Linked DNA regions of Oryctolagus cuniculus. The protein of the gene in region 4 interacts with the protein of the main gene of each other region in a pairwise test. Links are inferred from orthologs where the notes say so. Each region holds a gene or a part of one and is shown on either strand. Other genes may lie near its edges. The genes, in order: ARNT, PPL, CEP76 and AKT1.

What was found.
Region 1: the proteins of AKT1 (region 4) and ARNT interact in a protein complementation assay, tested with the Homo sapiens proteins (2 studies listed by BioGRID and IntAct, with this or other methods). The link is inferred for Oryctolagus cuniculus from reciprocal best matches to the Homo sapiens genes AKT1 and ARNT.
Region 2: the proteins of AKT1 (region 4) and PPL interact in a two-hybrid assay, tested with the Homo sapiens proteins (2 studies listed by BioGRID and IntAct). The link is inferred for Oryctolagus cuniculus from reciprocal best matches to the Homo sapiens genes AKT1 and PPL.
Region 3: the proteins of AKT1 (region 4) and CEP76 interact in binary tests that used the Homo sapiens proteins (3 or more experiments, as listed by UniProt). The link is inferred for Oryctolagus cuniculus from reciprocal best matches to the Homo sapiens genes AKT1 and CEP76.

The regions. Positions count from the first base shown.
Region 1 is NC_091438.1:47,242,132-47,247,354, reverse strand, and holds part of ARNT (aryl hydrocarbon receptor nuclear translocator), read right to left. Parts: intron 4,026-5,223; coding exon 3,960-4,025; intron 3,549-3,959; coding exon 3,463-3,548; intron 845-3,462; coding exon 768-844; intron 1-767. UniProt on the Homo sapiens protein: Required for activity of the AHR. Upon ligand binding, AHR translocates into the nucleus, where it heterodimerizes with ARNT and induces transcription by binding to xenobiotic response elements (XRE).
Region 2 is NC_091450.1:30,734,659-30,740,574, reverse strand, and holds the start of PPL (periplakin), read right to left. Parts: upstream 3,960-5,916; 5' UTR 3,945-3,959; coding exon 3,517-3,944; intron 1-3,516. UniProt on the Homo sapiens protein: Component of the cornified envelope of keratinocytes. May link the cornified envelope to desmosomes and intermediate filaments. May act as a localization signal in PKB/AKT-mediated signaling.
Region 3 is NC_091441.1:69,557,202-69,563,040, forward strand, and holds the start of CEP76 (centrosomal protein of 76 kDa), read right to left. Parts: upstream 3,828-5,839; 5' UTR 3,740-3,827; coding exon 3,518-3,739; intron 3,238-3,517; coding exon 3,162-3,237; intron 2,586-3,161; coding exon 2,331-2,585; intron 306-2,330; coding exon 120-305; intron 1-119. UniProt on the Homo sapiens protein: Centrosomal protein involved in regulation of centriole duplication. Required to limit centriole duplication to once per cell cycle by preventing centriole reduplication.
Region 4 is NC_091451.1:46,982,753-46,988,437, forward strand, and holds the start of AKT1 (RAC-alpha serine/threonine-protein kinase), read right to left. Parts: upstream 3,646-5,685; 5' UTR 3,506-3,645; intron 1,984-3,505; 5' UTR 1,911-1,983; coding exon 1,865-1,910; intron 1-1,864. UniProt on the Homo sapiens protein: AKT1 is one of 3 closely related serine/threonine-protein kinases (AKT1, AKT2 and AKT3) called the AKT kinase, and which regulate many processes including metabolism, proliferation, cell survival, growth and angiogenesis.

The DNA.
Region 1 (5,223 bases), on a different chromosome or scaffold from region 4:
ACATCTGGGGAGTGAAGCATCCTTTGGGAGTATCTGTCTCTCAAATAAGTAAGTAATATTAAAACAACAACATGTTGCTGCCACTTGGGATGCCCACATCACATACTGGAGAGTGCCTGGGATACAGCAGATGATGGCTCAGGTGTTTGGGTTCCTACTACTCACATAGGAAATCCAGATGGAGTTCCAGGCTCCTTGGCTTTCACCTGGCTCAGCCTCAGCTGTTGTGGCCATTTGAGGAAAGAATCAGTGGATAAAGGACTTATCTCTCTGTTACTCCCTGACACTCCGTCTTTCAAAATAAATAATTTTTTTAAAAATCTGCTTTCACCTGCTTAGGCTGTGCTCACTACCCAGATCAAAAAATCATTAAGGTCCAACTAACCAAGAAACTTATCTATACTTGTGAGAAGAATCAAGCTAATTCCACCTCTCTATTGTCAGTCATGTAATGATATAATGAAAAGGATATTTCTTCTTTCGCATAGAGACAAAGGAAATTCATCAGAAATAGAAAATTCAATATTATAAAGCTAAACACAAGAAAGATAAGGGGAAAAGATCTCCCCCTCATCCCCCGCAATATTCCAACTTATGCTAAACTCAAGATTACCAACATTTACTATGAATGTCATATTCCTTCAAATTTTTGGAGTCTTACAGAATTCTTTACTTGTATTCAGAGAATGAAAGAAAATTAACCTGAACAAGTCCTGAAGATTTTTTCTAACTTAAAAGGGATGTAAATGTAGAAAATTCACACTTGCCTGCAATCTACCAATGGCCACTAGACAAAACTTGCTTCCCTGGCCAGCCTCTGGGTCATCATCCGGGAGGGAAACACCTTCAGGAAGGTGAGGTTAAAAAGTTTAATTGAACTCTCAGACTCAAATGTTTTGCATGAGAGAATGATAAATGAGAATGTTAAAAATAAAGGTACAATTACATAAAATTTACTATATGTGCTACTCATGATATAAAATATATACATAAATTCATATATTTCAGCCATATTAACTATAATAAATTAAAGACTATAAGGCTCACTCGAGGTATTCCAAACACTATGCTAGCTAAATCAAACACATGTGAAGCAGCCCCTCTGTGACCAGAGAACAGATGTCTTGCCCAACCTGTGATCTGAAGTAAGCAAACAACCAAAAATGAATTTATGCCAAACACTAAGAGTTACTTGTGTCCCTTGGAAAAGAGAAAAATAATATTTTACATGGGAAAGTGAAGAAGAATGTAATTCTTCCTTATTCTTTGCATAGCTATTTTATTTTTATTCACAAAAATAGTACTTCTGTTGATAGCTACACAAAAGAAGTAAAGATCTTATGTACCTTAAACTATGTTTTATGCAATACAAAGATCACAAAGTTCAGATGTCATTACCTCATTCCTTAAAATATTTTCCTTAATTATATTAACTTCCACTTATTGGTATTTTTTTGTATTAGTATTTATTGATGGCTACCATATATGAGGTACTGGGCTGGATGCTTTCCTTACACTAAATCTAATCCTCATAATAACCCTCTATGGAATGTATTCTCTCCAAAGTACAGATGAGAAGTTTATAAAAGTCAAGCAACTTATCCTAGGTTATATCACTAATAAATAGCAATAATAATAGCAATGCCAGGAATCAAACCCAGGTTTTTCCAAATCCAAAGTTGAATGTCTTTTCTAAACATAAAACCTTGCTGCCTGTTTTTTTTTTTTTTTCCTTAGTTTCTGTCTTACCCAAATCCTTAATTCACAGTGACACCCAACTAGCAGGGAAGTAAAAAGTTTCTAAGGCTTGCAAACTCTTAAAAGTCAATTAAGCCGGCGCCGCTGCTCACTAGGCTAATCCTCCGCCTTGCGGCACCAGCACACCGGGTTCTAGTCCCGGTCGGGGTGCCGGTTCTGTCCCGGTTGCCCCTCTTCCAGGCCAGCTCTCTGCTGTGGCCCGGGAAGGCAGTGGAGGATGGCCCAAGTGCTTGGGCCCTGCACCCCATGGGAGACCAGGGTAAGTACCTGGCTCCTGCCATCGGATCAGCGCGGTGAGCCGGCCACAGCGCGCCAGCCGTGGCGGCCATTGGAGGGTGAACCAACGGCAAAGGAAGACCTTTCTCTCTGTCTCTCTCTCTCACTGTCCACTCTGCTTGTCCAAAAAAAAAAAAAAAAAAAAAAAAAAGTCAATTAAAAAGCTGATTCCCCCACCAAGGCTGGCGCCATGGCATAGTGGGTAAAGCCGCCGACTGCAGTACCGGCATCCCACAAGGGCACCAGTTCGAGTTCCAGTTGCTCCACTTCCGATCTAGCTCTCTGCTATTGCCTGGGAAAGTAGTAGAAGATGGCCCAAGTCCTTGAGCCCCTGCACCTGTGTGGGAGACCTGGAAGAGGCTCCTGGCTCCTGCCTTCAGATCAGCACAGCTCCAGCTGATGCAGCCATCTGGGGAGTGAACCAGTGGATGGAAGACATCTCTCTCTCTCTCCCTTCCTCCCTCCCTCCCTCCCTCTCCCTCTCCCTGCCTCTGCCTCTCTGTAACTTTGCCTTTCAAATATATAAATAAATCTTTTTAAAAAAAAAACTGATCCCAGCCAGCACCGCGGCTCAATAGGCTAATCCTCTACCTAGCGGCGCCGGCACACTGGGTTCTAGTCCAGGTCGGGGCACCAGATTCTTTCCCGGTTGCCCCTCTTCCAGGCCAGCTCTCTGCTGTGGCCCGGGAAGGCAGTGGAGGATGGCCCAAGTGCTTGGGCCCTGCACCCCATGGGAGACCAGGAGAAGCACCTGGCTCCTGCCTTCAGATCAGCGCGGTGCGCCGGCCGCAGCGCGCCAGCTGTGGCGGCCATTGGAGGGTGAACCAACGGCAAAAGGAAGACCTTTCTCTCTGTCTCTCTCTCACTATCCACTCTGCCTGTCAAAAAAAAACAAAAAACAAAAAACAAAAACAAAAAACAAAAAAACAAACAAAAAAAAACAAACTGATCCCAGCAAAAAACACCTTTCTTATAATCTCTGTGACCTCAAGTTCTAATAAAGCTAATCAGCTTAAAACTTCATTTAAGGCCCTTGCAGAGAGCATCTCCTTCTAATTACTACAATCAAACCATTTTCACCATTTCCCTCAAAGTTTTGTAACTAATTTAGAAAGACTTCTCAAGTGAATAATCCCAATGATTTTTAGTAACCACTGCTTAAAAGCATAGGTATTCAGTATATATAATTATGATTTTGTACATTTAAAAACTATGCTGTGACACAGCCATTAGTGAGACATTTTCAAATCTGAGTATATCATCTCCCCAAGTGGAATACAAGCTCAATAGTGTATGTGAAGGGGTCTGCTGTTTCTTTCAGGTTCCATCCAAGTACATTTCATACACCAAACACATAATAAATATAACTTTCTTAGACTTGGCGAGGAACCAAACGCACCGAAAAGAATCACCATCCAACTTTCCTACCTGCTGGGGGCCAGGCCTTGATATAGCCTGTGCAGTGCACCACCACGAAGTGAGGTTCTCCATCTTTCACAGAGCCAAGTCCATTCCTAGAAGAGTGGTATCAGTCAGAAGAAAAATCATACCTAGAAATTTCTTAAAGGACAATGCTGGCTTGGGAACTTCAACTTCAGAGTCTTGGTTTTTGAAAGTAGGACAATCAGTGCTGGGACCTCTCCCACCCGAAAGTAACCACCATAATTTCAACCATTACCAAAGGAAAACAACTGAAAAGAACTACAGCACAAGGAAAAGCAGGCAAAACAGTAAGTAAACTTCCTTTAACAGGAAAACAAGAAAAACTTTAGAAGTTCAGAAAAATACTGCCAGAAAAAAGTACCTAGGAGGCGAGGGAAGAGGGTGAGGACTACGAAAGGAAGTATTACAGTAAGTCAGGTGAGAAAGTTATGCTCTGTTGGGTCTTTGGTTACCCCTTTGGTTTTCACTGCTTAGGACTTCACCTGCATCTGTTCCTCACAAAGCTCAGTCTATTCATGGAGACTGGGTCCACGGAGCTATTGCCACACCTGTTTCAATGAGCAGAGAGATGCAAAGCAGTCAGCTTGCACAATGAAAGAACCTTTTTTTTTTTTTTTTTTTTTTTTTTTTTTTTGACAGGCAGAGTTAGACAGTGAGAGAGAAGAGAGAAAGGTCTTCCTTCCGTTGGTTCACCCCAATGGCCGCTAAGGCTGGCACGCTGTGCCGATCCAAAGCCAGGAGCCAGGTGCTTCCTCCTGGTCTCCTGAAAGAACCTTCTTTAGTGAAGTACGGTAACAGGCTTTAAATGCATCTTGACACAGAAAATTGGTAACAATGCTCCTAACACCAAGGAGGGATAATGGAAGTCACATTTGGTACTTCAAAAATATAACTGTTCTAAAATTTGAAGTAAAAAATATTCTATATGCTCTCCAAATGCAAAGATTCTCTATATCAGGAGTTGGCAAACTTTGTAAAGGACTAGAGTGTAAATATTTTCAGCTTTGTAGATCATACAGTCTAGTCTATTGTAACTAGGCAATTCTGGCAGTATAGCATAAAATCAGCAAAGACAATATATAGGCAAATGGGCATGGCTAGTTCCAATAAAACTTTCTTACAAATGAAGGGCAGTGGCTTGTTAATTCAGGCTATTTATCTTCTCTTGCCTATGTCTTTGCATTGGCCATGGCCATATGTTGGAATGGTCCCTTCAACTCAACTTTCTCTCTTTCATTTCTTTTTTTTTTCTTTTAAAGTTTTATTTGTTTATTTGAAAGTCAGAACCACACAGAGAGAGAAAAAAAGGCAGAGAGGTCAGTCTTCCATCCACTGGTTCACTCCCCAACTGGCTGCAAAGGCTGGAGCTGCGCCTATCCGAAGCCAGGAGCCAGGAGCTTCTTCCAGGTCTCCCACATGGGTACAGGGCCCCACGGGCTTGGGCCATCTTCCAACCCTTTCCCAGGCCACAAGCAGGGAGCTGGTTTGGAAGTGGAGCAGCTGGGACTCAAACCAGCGCCCATATGGGATGCCAGGACTGCAGGCAGCGGCTTTACTTGCTACGCCACAGCACCCACCCCCTCTTTCATTTCTTTAAAATAACAACAGTAGATAAAACTTCTACTGTTTAATATATGCCATGCTCTGTTCTAAATATCTTCACATATATTAATTCATCTAATCCTCATAACTTTGTGAGTTTAGTATCAGTATTACTTCCAACATTAGATGATAAAATCAAAGCAC
Region 2 (5,916 bases), on a different chromosome or scaffold from region 4:
GGCGCACAGTAGGTGCTGGACCGAGAGACACAGTGATTATTTGGTTGGAGAGAGGGATGGGCTCTGTTGACACAGCCCTCCCACAAATCGCTCCTGCCTCTCACGCTCGCTGATCCTCGGCACGTGTGTGTCCCTGTGTCTGTCTGGGTCTGCTGCCCAGCCAGCTCCGGGCTCAGTGCCGTGGGCACCCACAGCAGTCATGGGATGGCTCCGGATCCACCCTGCTGCCTCATCAGCTCGGGGTGGGGGGTGTTGCTATTCTCATGCCCATCTCACAGATGAAGAAATTGAGGCAGAGACATGAAGTGACCTCCCCAAGGTCACAGAGCTAGCAGAGGCGCAGCTGGGGCTGGAACTCACACTTTGCTAGCACCAAACCCTGCGCTCTAACCACCAAGAGGCCCAGGGTACCCGGGGTGGCTGCCAGCACCCCAAAGCCAGGGGCCCTGCTGCTCATGCAGGATTCCTCCCGCTAGGGCGGCACTATCTTGCAAGACCTGCCAGGCTGCTGGGTGTTCACCAGGACCCCCGTGGGGACATGGGGGCGCCACGGGTCCCATTTTGCTGACGGGGAAGCTCACCTGGTGTGGCGAGACCAAGTGCCGCCCGAGTCAGACAGACACATAGGGCAGTCTGACGTCAGAGCCACATCTCAGCCCCTCCCTCCTTGGCCAGGATGGGTCAGACCTCTCCCTGCGCTGGGGACAGCCTCCTTGGTCTCTGCTGACCCTGACAGCACAGCCCGGTCACAGAGCACAAGGACAGCTGGCCTGGATACCCAGCCTGTCCTGCTGTGTGTCCCCAGCCCCACCCATGAGTCTCCAGGGTCAGGGAACCACCAGTGCATGTGAGCTTAACCTTAGCCTTTCGCCCTGATGTGCCCGCCAGCGACTCAGAGGCAGGCAGCGGTCAGTGACTCCTCCACGTTCAGCCTGCCCACCATGCATCCAGCTCAGCCCCATGCACACATCCACACAAGTCCCTAATTACCATCACCCCAGCTGCCTGTTGTCCTCAACCCGTTCCACCCGTTCCTTTAACCCTCAGCCAGCACTCCGGGCAGGCACTAGGCTACAGGTGGGAGAGAACAGTCTCAGAAGGACCAACTCCGTCCCAGGTTACACAGCCGGGAGGGTGGGAGCTGGTTCCCTGCAGGACGCTTCCCTGGGACCTGTCATTATCGCAGGTGTGAACACCTGCTCCCACACCTGTCATTAGGAACCAGGGTGACAGGAGCAACGGGTTCACACCCTGTCCTGGCCCTCCCGGCTGGCAGGGAGGGGCGGCTTCCTTAACGGGGCTTGGGGCTCACGGCGGGAGGTGCCCCGGCTTGGGATGTGATGACAACCCTGACCTGGGCACTTCCTGTGTGCCAGGGCAAGGCTGCTCTCGGAGACTCCAAGCGACAGATTCTTACTGTCCTCTTCGCTGCTTTGCAGAAATGGAAACTGAGGCTCGGGAAGGGTCCGGGGAGGTGGCAAAGCCAGGGTGAGGAGCCGGGAGTCCCGCTTCCTGGGCCCGAGCTCCCACTCGCCCCGCCAAGCCGAATCTCAATGGCAGAGAGCCCCAGAAAACTAAGGGTGAAAGAACACAGCTTAGAGCCACAGGTGCCCCAGGCTGCTTGTTACAGGGCTGGTGAAGCGTGGAGTAGGCTGAAGGGAGGGAGACTGGGGTGCAGGGCTGCCCCCACCTCCTGGCAGAGGGATGCACAGGGCTGGGAGAGGATGTGGCAGACCCGGCCGCACACAGGGCTGCCATCCCACTCAGGGCCAGGTAACACAAGGCCACGGCAGCCCCACCAAGGGTCTTCCACTCCACCCTGGGAGAGAACCAGGAAGGCTTCCTGCACAGACACCCCCAAGCTGAGGTCTGCAAGCCAAGGACAGAGGGCGCTGCCTCTGGCCAGGAGTGCAGGGAGGGAGCGGTCAGTGCTCGCCCCACGCACTCAGCGGGATGGGGTGCCTCCCTCCCAACTTGCCTCAACTCACGCTAACCCGTGTGAGGTCCAGCCCAGGCCTCTGGGGATGCGGGCTGCGGGGGATGAGGGGCAGCCTGGCCCAGCTCCTGGAGTGGGGGTGCCTGCAGGTGTGGAGGTCTTGTGGTGGCGAGGACAGAACAGTTGTGTGGGGCTGGCACAGAGCACAGGATTGTGCAATGCCCGAGAGAACAGCGCATCGACTGGCTGGGCCCCCAGAGAGGTATGAGAGCCAGCTGGACGGCCAGGGAGGAACAGCACGCAGGGCCCTGCCCAGCCTCTGAGGCTGTGACAGACAGGAGGGAACCGGGGGCGGGGGGGGGGGGGATGCCTCTGAGCTTCAAACATCTGGAATGGGAGCTATGGGATGGGTGGGTGGGATCCCGACTCCTGGGGTGTCTGAGGATGCTGGAACGGAAGGAAACTGAGGGCCAGGCTTGCCTGCACCTGCCAAACAGGTCAGCCTAGGCTGATGGCAGGGGCGGCGCGGGGGGGGGGGGGGGGGGGACGCGAGCCCAGAGTTCCCGCCTGCACTGGGCCATCAGAGGCCTGCCGGGAATAAGGAGCCGCCCCCGGCACTGCAGGGACTCCACAGGGCAGCAGGAGGAGTGGGGACCCCAAGCCAGGAGGCTGTGCCGGTCACCTACTCCCCGCCTGCCTCCATCTCTGTACCCAACGCCCCTACCCCGTTTTCCCTCGAGGGGGAGAAGGCAGGGCCAACTCCCTCCCCCTCCCTCATCTCAGAATTGCCCCGACTTCCCCAAACCGGTTATTAAGCGAATGCATTCGGCTTATCAAAACGGACGTGGGCTGCCTGTGCGCACAAACACATCGAGACATGTCATTCCTTTCCCAGGCCTCCCTGGGAACCCGCCGCTCAGAGCCGCCGCCAGTTTCGGGGCTGGGGGAGGGGGCGGGGAAGGAGCCACACCCCTAAGAAGGGCCGCGGCGGCCCGACGCCACCCAGCCACCGCGCAGCGCCCTGCCTGGCGCTCCCCGGGCAAGCAAGAGGGTGCCGGGCCTGTGCCCTCCGCTCCAGGGCCTCGGGGCGGGGCGGGACTCCCGAGCGCAGGTTGGCAGGTGCGGGGAAGTGCCTAGCAGGTGGCCCGCCCCCGCGCCACCCCCACCTGCAGCCTGCCCGACGCCAGGAGCACCTGTGCGAGCTCCGAGACCCGCAGGTGTGCGCCCTCCAAGCCCAGCTCCGCTCTCCGGCCCAGCACACCCCCTCTAGACCCGGCCTTCGGGCCCCCTGCGGCCGCAGTCTCCAGCCCGACTCAAAAGCAGCCCGGGGGGCGCAGGTTTCCGGTACCCCCGTCTCAATTCCCCGCCCCCTAGGCCCTCAAAGCCAGGCCCCCTGCGCTCCGAGGACCCCGGGGGGCCACAAGCGGTGTCCCCTCGGACGCGCTCGCCCATGCCACCCCATCCTCTTCCCAGCCGAGCGACCCCTCGCGTCCCACACTCTTGGCTCGGTTCCCAGACCCGTGAGCCCCGGGACCCCTCGGGGACCCGGCGCTGGCCCCCGCCCCGCGGCGCCTCCTCACCTGCGGGTCTGCACCTTGGGGCTGTATTTGCCTTTGTTTCTCTTCCTGAAGAGTGAGTTCATGGTGGCGCTGGGGAGCGGCGGGGGCCGGGCGGGCCGGCGCGCACCGAGGGCGGGCTGTGGGTGCAGGTGAGCGGCGGCGGCGGCGGCGCGGGCGGGCGGGCGGCCCCGAGTGCTGCGCGCCCTCGGCACCCCAGCACTACTCGCGGGGGCGGGGCGCCCGGCGGCCACTCGCTCCGCGGCCGCTCCCCGGGTAGGTGGCGCTTCACCTTTCCGGGGAGGGGCTCCCGCAGGGCCGGGGGCGGGGACGCCCGGGCCGCCTCCGCACGCGCGGGGCCCCGCCCTCCGCGCGGGGACTTGCGCGCCCCCCGACTGGGGGCCCTGAGTGCTCTGGGCGCGGGCGCTGCTCCGGCTCCGGCCGACCCGCATCTGGAGTCCCCAGTCCCCCGCTCCGCCCCTCACAGGGCCGCTGTCGGTGTCTGTGCGACCCGGATGGCCAGTGGGTCCCAGCAAAGGGGGCACTGGACGCCCCTGCCCACGTGCGGATCTTGCCTCCGCACTGGGTCGGCCGAGACCCCTGGGCGACGTGCGTGTTCCAGCGCCCCTAGCCTCAGTTACCCAAATGGGTGCCGGTTCAAGTCCTGACTGCTCCACTTCCGATCTAGCTCTCTGCTATGGTCTGGGAAAGCAGTGGAATATGGTCCAAGTGCTTGGGCCCCTGCACCCGTGTGGGAGATCGGGAAGAAGCTCCTGGCTCCTGGCTTTGGATTGGCGCAGCTCTGGCTGTTGTGGCCAATTGGGGAGTGAACCAGTGGATGAAGACACCTCTCTCTCTCTCTCTCTCTCTCTCTCTCTCCTTCTCTCTCTATGTAACTCTGACTTTCAAATAAATAAATAAATCTTAAAAAAAAAAAAAGCAAAACAGAACACTCAGACTGGAGACTTTGCTGAGGGGCCTGGTGGCCTCGTTAGGATCAAGGACAATGCGAGACGTCTGGGAACGTCCCTGAGTGCAGCCAGGGGACCTCTCTGAGAACAGTGGCTCTAGTTGCTGTGCGTCGGCGCCTGGGGTGTGTGGGGGTGTGTAAAATGCAGATTTCAGGCCTTCATACCCTGGGAGAAGGGCTCAGGAGTCTGATCACTTGACAAGATCCCCCCACGGTCCTGGACCTCACTGGGAAAAGCCAAGAGGGAGGGACCCTGCCAGCTACTGCCCAGGCACAGACCTCTCGCCAAACCTAACCCCCCACCTCGGCCCTGCCTGGCCTCCCTCTCAGGTGCTGCCCTAGGTGGGGCAGGTAAGGCCTTGAGCAACCCCTCGTTCTGAAGAGACTCCCCTCCCTAGGTCTGAGGGCACCCTGGGGACTCGCCCACCAGCCAGCTGACACTGGGGCAGGTGTCAGAGAAGAGCCAGGGCTGCAGCACACAGGCGGCCTGCAGCTACCAGAACCAAAGCCCAGCTCAGTCTCAGGCCATGGGCCACAGCGGGGGGCTTGTTTCCTGCTCTGCTCCTCCCCTGCCCGTGCCCAGAGACCCTTTCCTTACTCTTCCCCCTCCCACCTTTCTGGGCAGGTGGGCACTGGTGTGGGTGCTAAGTCTGCCTTGACTGTTCACTGCAACCTTGTAGATTTTCTGGAAACCAGCTGCTCACCCCTGGGGTAGGTTAAACAAGCAGCCACAGCTGTGCGGACGGTGTGCCTAGACCCACACGTGGAGTGGATGCCCACAGCAAGGGGCAAAGGAGAGGGTCTACGATGCCCGCTCTGTGTTGGGGGGAGGGAGAGAGAGAAACTAGGCGGGCATGCCACTTGCTTGTAAATGCGCGGCAGACGTGGGCAAGGATTCGTGAGACACGGTCACCTTCGAGTCCCCTCTGGAGAGGCCAGGGAAAGATCAGCATTTTCACAGGGGAAGGAGAGCAGGCAGCGTAGACAGACCTGAGTTTGAATCCCTGTTCAGACCCTCTCAGCTGTGTGAACACAGGTGAGCCACCATGCCTCTCCCGGCCTCCGTTTCCCTCTGTGAAATGGGCACAAACACAGCATCGACGTCCGAGGGTGAGGCGCTGTGTGCTGGTCCCTTAGTCCGGCCCCTGGCCATTAGCAGGGCCTCTGTGAACGGGAGGGGGAGGCGTGTGCAGCTGCAGGCCACCGGCTTGTAGGACTGGGGTGGGGGCAACGGGGAGGAGTCTCCAAACCATCACAGGACCTCCAGATGGAGTCAAAACTCTGGACATCTCTGAACTGCCAAGTCCCCTCTCCTCACAACTCCTAGAAAGTGAAGGCCGCTTTTTGGAAGGGGAACTGGACCAAGGAACGCAGGCTGGCAGCTCAGCTGGCTTGGCACTCAGCCGCTGGGTGCCGGCCAGGGCGCTGGTCACGGGCGCCCCTCCCTGGGTGCC
Region 3 (5,839 bases), on a different chromosome or scaffold from region 4:
TTCCAGTGAAATTCTGTTTTATAGGTTTTCCTCTTGGTCTAAGAGCCATTTTAAAGATAGAAAATGAATTTTGGAAGAAATTATGAATATAAAGATAACAGTGATACTAATCATCATACCTACACCCATTAGTTCCACCGTTAGATTGGTCACTCCATTTTCTGAGCCCAAAACCGATCGCCATTCCAGAAAATAGGATGCTACTAAAGTGGTCTCACCAAATATGTCTGTTTTGATTAGCACCATATGGATGGGATCACTTATTGACAACATTGTTGTTGAATCAGCCATTCTAGTTCCATCACCTGACAATATAAACAGAAGGTTACATCATATTACATATTGTTAGGCCAACATAAAACTACTTTTATTGAAAAATATACTAAATAATAAACATATATGAAACTAAATAGAATTAATTTGGTAATATCTCAGAAAGCATATCACAAGCCTGGGAATACAAGTACACTCCTAGTTCCATCACTAGCTTCTGAGAAAACTGGCGGAATTGTCAAGTAATCTAGTTACTTAAACCATATCAGTGCTTTTTGATAAATAGATTAATAAGCCCCAGGAACCCAACTTCTTGAGCCACTGTCTGCTTTCTCTCAGGGGGGTGTATTAGCAGGAAGCTAGGCTCGAGAGTGGAGCCAGGACACAAACCCAGGCATTCTGATATGGTATGTGGGCTTCCCAACTGGCATTTTAACTACCAGGCTAAATTCCTGCCCCTGAAAGTCGAAGTTTAGATGTGAATATGTAACTTACTTTTGTAATGTCAAAATTTATGAGGGGCGGGCATTATAGTACAGTGGTCAAGCTGCCTGCTGAGGCACCGGCAGCCTATATCAGAGTACCTGGATTTGAGTCCCTGCTCTGCTTCTAACCCTGCTTCCTGCTAATGTACACCGTGGGAGATAGCTGGTGATGGCTCAGATACATAGGTCCCTGCCACCCCTGTGGGAAACCTGATGGAGTTCTTATTACTTGGCTTCGTGGAATTCTGGGCTCCTGGCCTGGCCCAGCCCTGGCTATTGCAGGCATTTGGGGCAGGAAACCAGAGGATGGAAGATTCTCTCCCCCTCTCCCTTTCTTTCTCTTTCTCTCTCTCTGCCTTTCAAATAAAAAAGAATTATAATATATGATTCTTGTAATTGTTTTACACTGTGTTTCTAACAAGGTATTTTTTAAAAAAGGTAATTTATGGGGTGAATTGCTAAACTGTGAGCTTAAATCTTTCAGTTTTGTGTTGATAATACAGTGATAATTTCTAAAGATAAATGAATAAGGACAGTTTAAGAATTAATCTTAACATATTTGATGGCTTTTTTTTGTAGTAACATATATTTTAAATAAGTACTTTTAAAGAGAGAGAGAAAGAGAAAGAAAGGGAGAAGGGGAGAGAATCTTCCATCCTCTGGTTTCCTGCCCCAAATGCCTGCAATAGCCAGGGCTGGTCCAGGCCAAGCTGCAGTGCCAGCGTCCCCTAAGGGCACCAGTTTGAGTCCCGGCTGCTCCACTTCCGATCCAGCTCTCTGCTATGGCCTGGGAAAGCAGTAGAAGATGGCCCAAGTCTTTGGGCCCCTGTGCCCGCGTGGGAGACCTGGAGGAAGCTCCTGGCTCCTGGCTTCAGATTGGAACAACTCCAGCCTTTGTGGCCAACTGGGCAGTGAACCAGCAAATGGAAGACCTCTCTCTCTCTCTTTCTCTCTCTGCCTCTCCTCTCTCTGTGTAACTCTGACTTTCAAGTAAATAAATAAATTTAAAAAAAGAAAGAAAGGAAAAGTTGGGTTCCTGCCACTCATGTTAGATGGGTTCCCAGCTCTTGGCTGTAGCCACATCAACGCCCCCGCTCCATTTCAGGTATTTGGGAAGTAAACCCGCTAGCAGATGGGAGCTCTTTACTATTATGGCTTTCTTTCTAACTCTCCAGTAAAATTTAAAACAAAATAAAACAAACAAAAACCTTTGAAATATAACAACATCACAAATCTAGTCATCCTTCATATACAAGAAGGATCATGTCTCATTCTCTCATGTCCTCAGCACCTGCTAGCATAGTACCATGCACATGACAGGCATCTCACAGGATTATTAGTAAAGAACCAAAATTAAGAGTAAAGTAATAATCGTTTAGGGATAATTAATTAGCAAACACAGAATAAAGCAGAAGGTGCACAGAAGTCGTTAAAATAAGAGTGGCGGAAAAATAAAAAGACTAGGCCAAATGACTCAATCTGTAAATCTCCCAACAGCAGAAGTTGTTACAGCAACTCTGCAACAAAACCTAATAAAAGCTCACTCCATTAAGTGACTATTACGTTCCTTACCTAAGTTTTCTCTGTGTACTTCAAGTAAAAAGCCATCATGAAAATCAGGTTCACAGGCACATGGAACAGGTTTAGAACGAAAACGTTGGTTTCGATAATGTAAGCATAAAGTAAAAGTTGAACAAACTTGTCCTGGTAAAGGCTCAGGTTCTTGAAGATGTTCCAAGAAAGCTTTTCCACCCAAAACCTGAAGGTAAAGATACCTCCGTGTTGGATCAATATTAGCTGTAAAGTGTAGCAATATACATGAGGAAACTGCCAAATAATTTAAGGAATGTGATCAAGACATTAGGATACAACAACTTGAAAGAAATAACATCAAAGACTAAAAAAAGAAGAAAAAGAGTAACAAATTTACTATATACCAGAATCATTTGCACCCTGGGGAGAAAAGATACATAATCTGACATTCTTTTCGGAGTTTACATTCTGTCCACTTTCTCCCAGCTAGAGTGGCCCAAAGTCTACTATAGTTTGCTTTTTATTAGCTGCTTATTAAATCTCCCTTCACCTCCATAAACCAGCTCAGGCAACTACAAATTAAGCAAATGTATTTGTAAGGTAATTATCATTAAAATAACAAGGCTGTACAATCTTAAATAAAGTATATTATTAAAATATGAGAAACCAGTGTGCTGGCTTTTGCTTCTACTATACTGCACATTAAATTTTCTGATATACTTCATGTGAAACAAAATTAAGTTTTAGGCCAACCACAAAAATTTAAATATTTGGGGAAAAAACCAGAAATGTTTTCTATCAAATACCAAACACTACAGCACATCAATATTCATTATACAACAGAATTATTATTAAAAAACAGATACATACTTTTTTTTAATGTTGACTGTCTATCAAAACTAACAGGTTGTTTTGGAGAGGAAGGGAGTTCTTGATCAACATTGTCCTGGAAAGGCCAAAAAAAAAAATTGAAAAAAAAAAAATTAAGAAAATGCCAATCATGACACTAAACAGCAAACAGAAAGGTGACAGGATAAGGGCCCTCTTCCCACCCCCCAAAAAAGCCCTTTTCATAGTGTAATCAAAATACTGAAAATGAAAGATAATGCAACTGGTCACTATTCATGTCTAATACTAAGGTGTAAAAATTATCTTCAAGGAATGCCATCCACAGAATGTAAAAAGCAATTCTGAAAACCTTAAACAAGCTTGAACTTTCCCTATACCTGATGTAACACTTGGCTTACAATTCCAACAGTTACTGATTTTAATAAAGAAGTGACATTCACACAGCAAAAGCTGTTATTAGGCCAATTTTTATAACAAATGGGTTCATAAACCTCAAAAACCAAAAAAGGATGCTGTATTAAAATACTTATTCCCTGATGTATTATGAAGTCTGTCCAATTTTCACATATTATCCAGGTATTGAGGTCACAGTTTTTCATTATTGCCTCATTTTCAAAAGAGGGCCTACTTCCTAATGGTGCCTTGAGAGGCCAGCATCTCACTACTGACCTATTTGTAGGTAAAGACTGGAGAGTCTTTGTGCAGTCAATTATTTTCTTGAGGACATTTATAATTTGTTCATCGGAGTCCCAAAGAGTGTTTATTTTAAAAATAAGCTTAACCTAAAGCAACTGTAGGGCAATCTTAGTGAAAAAAGAACAGTTTTATGGTGAACTAATGTGACTGAAATATGTATATTCATAATTAAAAGACCTAGAGAATTACAAGAGAGAATCCTTGTCACTGCAGAGTGAGGAAGACAGTCTACATAACCCAAATCTCGCTGACTCACACTATTTGTGTGCTACCCAAGGGTAGAGCTAACTTACAAGGCAAATAAGGACACTGGTAGACAGGAGGGCCTTCCAGTGGTTTCGCTCAAAGGAGAAACTCCCACCAAGGACCCTGTCAACAGTGTAACTACGCCCAGGCATGTTCTTTACAGACCCCAGAGTACTCACCGTAACAAAATTCAGTTCTTTCATCACATCATCAATGATTCCTCGCCGTCGAAGGGCTTTGATCAAATCTTCCGTTGATAACTGTTGCTGGTCGGGCGCTAACTCCTCGCGTATGGTCTCGGCGAGGATTTCCCGTATCCTGCCGTGGACATCCATCTGCGCACAAAACCCGCACGACAACGCCATTACTCCTCGAGTCAGGGCTCTAGAGCTAGCCGCGAACGGGCCATCATTACCACAGCTGAGTGAGAATCACCGCCAGCTTCCACGAGATGCAACTCTGGGAGACAAAGGCTAGAAATGACGTCTACCGCCTGCCCACTTTTGTGACCGCTTCCCCCCCCCGGAATCCCGCTCAAACCAAATCAGTCTTTCCATAGGGAATGCTGGATGGAATCGCAGGAACAGGCGGATCGCAGCAGCTGTGCAGGTCGGAGCTAACGTCTTCAGGCGCTGGGGTCCTCCGTCCTCCCGGACAAGACCCCGGACGCCCTGACCGGCGGCCAGTGCGGCGCGCACGCACCGCGACTTCTGTTACTTCACGCGTCGCCCTCGGCGAGGGCCGCAAAAGCCCCGGCCTGAGGCGACTGCGCCCCTACCAAGTCCTTCCGCCACGTCCCCTCCGTTACTGGGCTGTGCTGGCTGGAGCTGCTGGCTCTCGGATCGAGGAAGCCCACGTCTCGCCCTAAAGCCACCTCGGCTCTGAAAGTACATCCGACGTGACTTTGGAAGACCGCTCGGCTGCCCCCTACCACCCAAACGGTCCCATCGCCTCCCAGTCTCATGAGCACTCCCTCTCGCCTTCTTCCCTTTCACCGCCGCTACCAGGCTGCTCTGGCTTCAAACCCGAAGCTTTAGCTGCCCCGCGCTCCGCGCTGGCGCCCGGGATGGCCCAAGCCAGAGCCCGCCGGGCGGGGGACGCCTCAAGACAAGCGAAGAGAGCCCAGCTCGGCCCGCGCCGCCCTCACCTTGCTCAGTTGCTGGTGGATGAGCTGCTTCAGCTCCGAGGCTTTCTCCGGAGGCAGCGACATGCTGGCGGCCAGCGCCTCCACCGCTGTTCCCCGCCGGACGCCCTAGCTGTGTGGCGCACCCCGGCCCGGCCAGGGAGCGTTAGTCGCAGCGGGAGCACAAAAGCCGCACCGACGGCCGCTCGCTTCGCGCAGCTCCCCGGGGGGGGGGCGCGACGCCGCGTCAGGGCCGAAGCTGGGCGGGAACCCAGGCGCTGGCGGCGCCAACTGCTTTCAAATAATGACGGACCAACAGGCTTCGGGGCTGTCCCCCGCGATGCCTGATGCCCTCCGCCTGCCGCGCCACCTTCTCGCAGGCCCGCACCCCGCAACCTCTGCTCGCCCCGTCGCCGGGACTGGCCAGGGTCTCCCAACAGAGCTCCCCGTTTCCCTTCCCAGTCCTCGCGGCGGCCTCGTTCCTCCCTCCGGCCCGGCAGGGAACTGGACGGACCCTCAGGACCCCGCGCCGAGGGACTCCAAGGTCCCGCCTGCGTCTGTGGGTTCTAGGGACTGGGCCACCGGGTACGGCGCCCTGCTCCGGCTTCCGCCGACCCGCGGCCGCTGTGTTTCC
Region 4 (5,685 bases):
TAGGGCGAGTTGGCCTCGTGGTTAAGACGCTCACATCCCACACGGGAGCCCTGACTTCGACCCCAGGAAGGCAGCAGTGGCGGCTCAGGGGACCGGGTCCCCGCACTCACGCGGGAGTCCTGGACTGAAACCCCAGTCCACCACCATGGGCACTGGGGGAGCGAGCCCTGTCCTCCTCTTCCTAACAAGTGTTTTAAAATAACCAGGGCTGGCGCTGTGGTGTGGCGGGAAAAGCTGCTGCCTGCAGTGCCGGCATCCCATAGGAGCACCAGTTCTAGTCCCGGCTGCTCCACTTCCGATCCAACTCTCTGCTGTGGCCAGGGAGTGCAGTGGAGGATGGCCCAAGTGCTTGGGCCCTGCACCCCATGGGAGACCAGGAGAAGCACCTGGCTCCTGGCTTCAGATCCACACAGCGCCAGCTGTTGCAGCCATTTGAGGAGTGAACCAGCGGATAGAAGCTCTCTCTCTCTTTCTAACTCTGCCTTTCAAATAAATAAATAAATGTTTTTTCTAAAATAAAATAAAGCAATAAAACAAAACAGCAGCAGCCAACCTTCAAAACCAGGGAGCCCCCGTGTCTCTGGGACTCAGTCCCAGACGGGAAGCCACGCTGGGTCCACGCAGGGCCAAGCGGGCCCCAGCGCCTCAGCCCAAAGCACACCTAGGACCCGTGCCCCTCCTGCACCCACCCCAGCCCCCAGAGGCCACGGCAGCCATGGTGGGACGGTTGCCTTGGGCTCAGCCAACAAGCAAGGAGCTCCAGGCCCTGGGCAGGACCCAGGGTGCGGAAGGGTAGACACTGGGCAGAGGGCCAGGCCCATGCCACCCCCGGGCCACACAGAGGGGTGGGGAGTCACTGGGGCACCCCCTCCCCGCCCCCAGCTAGGCCCAAGCACGTACAGACTGGGAGGGTCAGCCCAACACGGCCCCGCTGGCCTCAGCCCAGGCAAGGCAAAAGGGCTGGAGCCAAGACAGTGCTGCCGGTGCCGAGTGCCACGACGGGCCCCAAGGGGCCGGGGCGGGGGCGCCTCTGAGGGCAGGCCAGGGCGCGATGTCCACCTGTGGAAGCAGGAGGAGGCTGCGAGCAGGGCCGGGAGGGTGCCGGCTGGCTGGACCCCACGAGCCACTCTCTCCTCTCCACCAGCCCCACCCTGACCCCTGGAAACAGGGAAACGGAGGCCCAGGCAGTTGACTGATGGACAGGGTGAGGTCCAAGCCCTCTCTTGGCTGCCCCGCGGGCCGTCCCCACCCAGCCCCTGGCAGAGGCACACCATGGAGGCCACTGCGGCCGAGCCCAGCTGGCCAGTGCCACCCCGGGGCCGAGGACTGACACCCAAGTCCCAGGGACCAGACGGCAGCCCAGGCTTGGAGAGCGGCTGGCTGGGGAGGTGGGACGCCCGGGGTGGCACTGCGGGGTGGGGGCCTTGGCAGGAAGACGGGCAAGGGGTTCCGGTGGGCCTGCAGCCCACCCCTGCTGCCCGGCGCCCACTCCCCCGCAAACAGCGGGGCGCAGCCTCGGCCCTGGCCTCTCGTCTGGGTTCTTTCCTTGCCCCCCGGGGCCTGGGCCTGGGCCTGCTCTGTGGGGACTGCCGTCCGCCTCGTGGGCCCTCGGTGCCCTCTCTGGGTCTGGGGCTCCCCTGCGGGAGAGTTCCCCCGCGGGAGGGCTCTGAGCGCCCAGCCCCCCTCCCAGCAGGCCAAGGAGCCCCTGGGCACTGCCCCGGGCAGGCAGCGTGTGGGGCCCTGCACCGCCCTCGCCTTCCAGGAAAGCCGGGAGGGCTGGCAGCTGTGGGGGAGCTGGGCCGGTGCTGCCCGGCCGGCCGCCCGCACCCCGCCCCGCCCCGCCCCGCGGAGCTCGCACACGGACCTCGCTTGTGCAGCCAGCCCTCCTTCACGATGCTCACGGCGTTCATGGTGCCCGGCTCCGGCCGCACGCGCCGTCAGCGCAGACGGCTCTCCTGGCCCCAGCTGGCCCGGCCCGAGGCTCTGGAAGAAGCAAGCGAGTGTGAGGTGTGAGCCCCCAGGCCCCGGCCCACGGGTCCCCTCCGCGTGCCCTGGGCCCCAGCCCGTGTACAAAGCTGGCCCTCCCATCCCCGGGGTGGGGGGTCTCACTCAGCGCTCTGGCCCCTCCCCAGCAGTGCAGCTCGGGCGACAGGGAAACCTCCCCAGGAAGAGCCCCCCCCCGGCTCCACGGCATTCTCCGGCCCATGTACCAGGCATCTCGGCTGTGCCAGGCCGCACACCGGGCGCTGGGCACACAGAACGGCTCACACCTGCTGGGGAGCAGCACCCGGCATAAGGCAGTTACAGAGCCACAGTCCCCACGCTCACAAGGTGGCTGCCGTGACGCCGCAACCCTCCATGCCCAGCTCCCGGGCTCTGGGCACCCCAGGCACAAGCATCTGGCACAGGCCTGCCGGGAGCGCAGCCCTGGGGGCCTCAGGCCAGGCAGAACCGCCCCCCAGGACGGCCGGGGATGCGGCCCACTGGGGGCTCTCCGGCCAGGCCACCTCTCTGGCCCTCCAGGGCCACGCTGTGCTGTGCCGAGGCCCCACAGCCCGTGTCCAGGCCACACCAGGAAGAGGCCCAGGGCCGCAGGGAAGTGAGCGTGCCTGGGGGAAGACACCTCGAGGCCAGGGCGCTGGGACCTCGTGGGCGTGGCCGAGGCAGAGGGCTGGACGCAAAGACCTCTGGACAGCCCCCCAGCCTCCGCCCAAGGCCTGCTGCTGGCCATCACCGAGAGCACGCAGCGTGGCGTAGCCCACACAGAAGCCGGCACGGGGACCCCACTTCCCGCGGCACGCGCCACTGAGGCCGCCATGGCTCCTCAAGTCCCAGCCGCTGCAGACCGAGCCCCTCGGCCCTGCGGTGTTCTCCCGGGAGGGGGCACCAGGCCCTGCACTTGGGTGGGGGGCTCAGCGCAGGCAAGAGCAGCTGTCTGGGGCCAGGCCAGCCGGGGACAAGCTCGCCAGCTGTCCCAGGACCCCCAGCTGACCGGGCGCCCTGGCCACACCCGGGCCCGGCCTCTGGACGCTGGCAGCACCTCCACAGCCCACTCCAAACAGGAAGCAGCCCGGCCGCGAGGCACGCAGGCCCCTGATGGGGCAGCCTGGGCACGGAGCCGCCGCCCACAGCTTTCTGTCCCAGGCCTCCCGACCCCACCCCTTAAGAACTTGAAGGCCGGTGGTCCGCGACCCTCTCCCTCCCCTCGGAGCACAGCCTCGGCCCGCTGCCTCGCTGGCCGACTGCCCACGGCCCCGGGCCCTGCGGCGCCCCTCCTCCGGGCCCAGGCCTCCCCAAGGTCACGAGGAGGCCGGGGCCGCCGGCCCGCACCCGGGCGCCGGCTGGGGCGCCTCCCGCGCGACCGCCCGCTCCGCGCCCTCCACGCCCAGGCCTCGCTCGGCCACTTCCTGCCCCCGCCCTCCACGCCGGAGGCCGCGGCCCGCGCCGGCCCGCCGGGAACAAAGCGCTCGGCCGCGGGGGCGCGGCCGGCGGCGGCGGGACTCACCGGGCCGCCTCGTCCGCGCGAGCGGGGCCTAGCCGGGCCGCGGCCTCCGGCGCCCGCCGCTCTGCATCCCCGCGGGCCGGCGCTGGGCGGGGCCGGCGGGAGGCCGCGGCGGGCGCTGCTCGGGCCGGACTCGCGCCGCCGCCTGGTGCCGGTCCGGTGCCCGTGCCCGCTGCGCACTCGGTGCCCGCGGCGCTCGGTGCTCGGCGCCTGCTCCCGCGCTCGGGCCGCGCTGGCTGCGCTGGGCCGGCCGCCCGCCGCGCTCGGTCCCGCCGCCGCCGGCCCGCCCTCTCCCCGCCCCGCGCCCGCCCCGCGCCCGCGCCGCCCGCCCACATCCGCCTCCGCCGCCCCGGGCGCCCCCGCCGCGCGGCCGACGGCGAGGGCGGGGCGCCAGGAGCGCGGCGGGCCGGGGCGGCCTGGGGCAGGGCCGGGCCCGCTAACGGAGCCTCCGCTCGGCAGCCGGGCCGGGGGCCGCATCCTCCGGCCTCAGTTTCCCTCTTTGTAAAGGCACCGGGCGCTTCCCGGCCGCGCTCTGGCGGACTCCACTGGAACAGGCCCAGGACCGATGCGGGTCTCGGGGACACCTGCGTCCGCTGGTGGGGGCCAGGGGAGGAGGGCGCAGCCCCGACAGTCCTAAAGGCCCCACTCGTGGCCGCTGGGGGCGGTGCGGGCAGTGTGGAAGGGAAAGGAAGGGGGCGCGGGGCTGACCGGCCCTGAGCCGGCCGCGGACACCCAGGGGACACCGAGGGGAAGGCTGTGCTGGCGGCGCCCGAGCGGGCCTCCCCACGGGGCTGCATTGCGGGGGCGCAGGCCACGGTCACTGAGCCAGAGGCCTCCCGGAGCCCTGCGCGCGGGCAGAGCCAGCCCCTACCCCGGCAGACTCCCAGCCCTGCCTCTCTCCACCGCCCCGCCCCTCCCCAGAGGCCCAGAGCTGATTGGTGAGTTGGGGGGGGGTGTCATTTTTTGTTTTTCATTCAGGGTCAGAGGTCGGCTCTGGGCTGGGAGGTGTGCACCGAGGCAGGTGCAGCCAGGAAGAGCTGCAGGGCTGGCGGGCCCAGCACGGCCTCTGGGGCCGCTGGCTCCTCAGCAGGTGCCTCCAGGCCCCCCCCCAGCTCCTCTGCAGGTGTCTCCAGGCCCCCCCCCGGCTCCTCAGTAGGTGTCTCCACCCCCCCCCGACTCCTCAGCAGGTGTCTCCAGGCCACCCCCCCCCCGACTCCTCAGCAGGTGTCTCCAGGCCCCCCCCCGACTCCTCAGCAGGTGTCTCCAGGCCCCCCCCCGACTCCTCAGCAGGTGTCTCCAGGCCCCCCCCCAGCTCCTCTGCAGGTGTCTTCAGCCCCCCCCCCCGGCTCCTCAGCAGGTGTCTCCAGGCCCCCCCGGCTCCTCAGCAGGTGTCTCCACCCCCCCCCCGGCTCCTCAGCAGGTGTCTCCAGGCCACCCCCCCCGACTCCTCAGCAGGTGTCTCCAGGCCCCCCCCCGACTCCTCAGCAGGTGTCTCCAGGCCCCCCCCCGACTCCTCAGCAGGTGTCTCCAGGCCCCCCCCCAGCTCCTCTGCAGGTGTCTTCAGCCCCCCCCCCCGGCTCCTCAGCAGGTGTCTCCAGGCCCCCCCCCGGCTCCTCAGTAGGTGTCTCCAGCCCCCCCCCCCGGCTCCTCAGTAGGTGTCTCCAGCCCCCCCCCGGCTCCTCAGCAGGTGTCTCCACCCCCCCCCGACTCCTCAGCAGGTGTCTCCAGGCCCCCCCCCCCGGCTCCTCAGCAGGTGTCTTCAGCCCCCCCCCCCCGGCTCCTCAGCAGGTGTCTCCAGCCCCCCCCCGGCTCCTCAGTAGGTGTCTTCAGCCCCCCCCCGGCTCCTCAGCAGGTGTCTTCAGCCCCCCCCCCGCTCCTCAGTAGGTGTCTCCAGCCCCCCCCCGGCTCCTCAGCAGGTATCTCCAGGCCCCCCCCCGCTCCTCAGTAGGTGTCTTCAGCCCCCCCCCCGCTCCTCAGCAGGTGTCTCCAGCCCCCCCAGCACAGCCGTCCTGCTGGACTGTGTGGCCCCAGGTGAGGCGGAGCTGGTCTGTGCTGCTCCTGTCAGGTAGTGATGTCTGTCCCTCACCCACGCGGCGCGACCTCACCGTGGTCCCCCGGGGCCCCTCTGGGACCGTCCAGCCTGCCCATTGCTCTGCCAGGAAGGGTGCCTCATGCCCACCCCC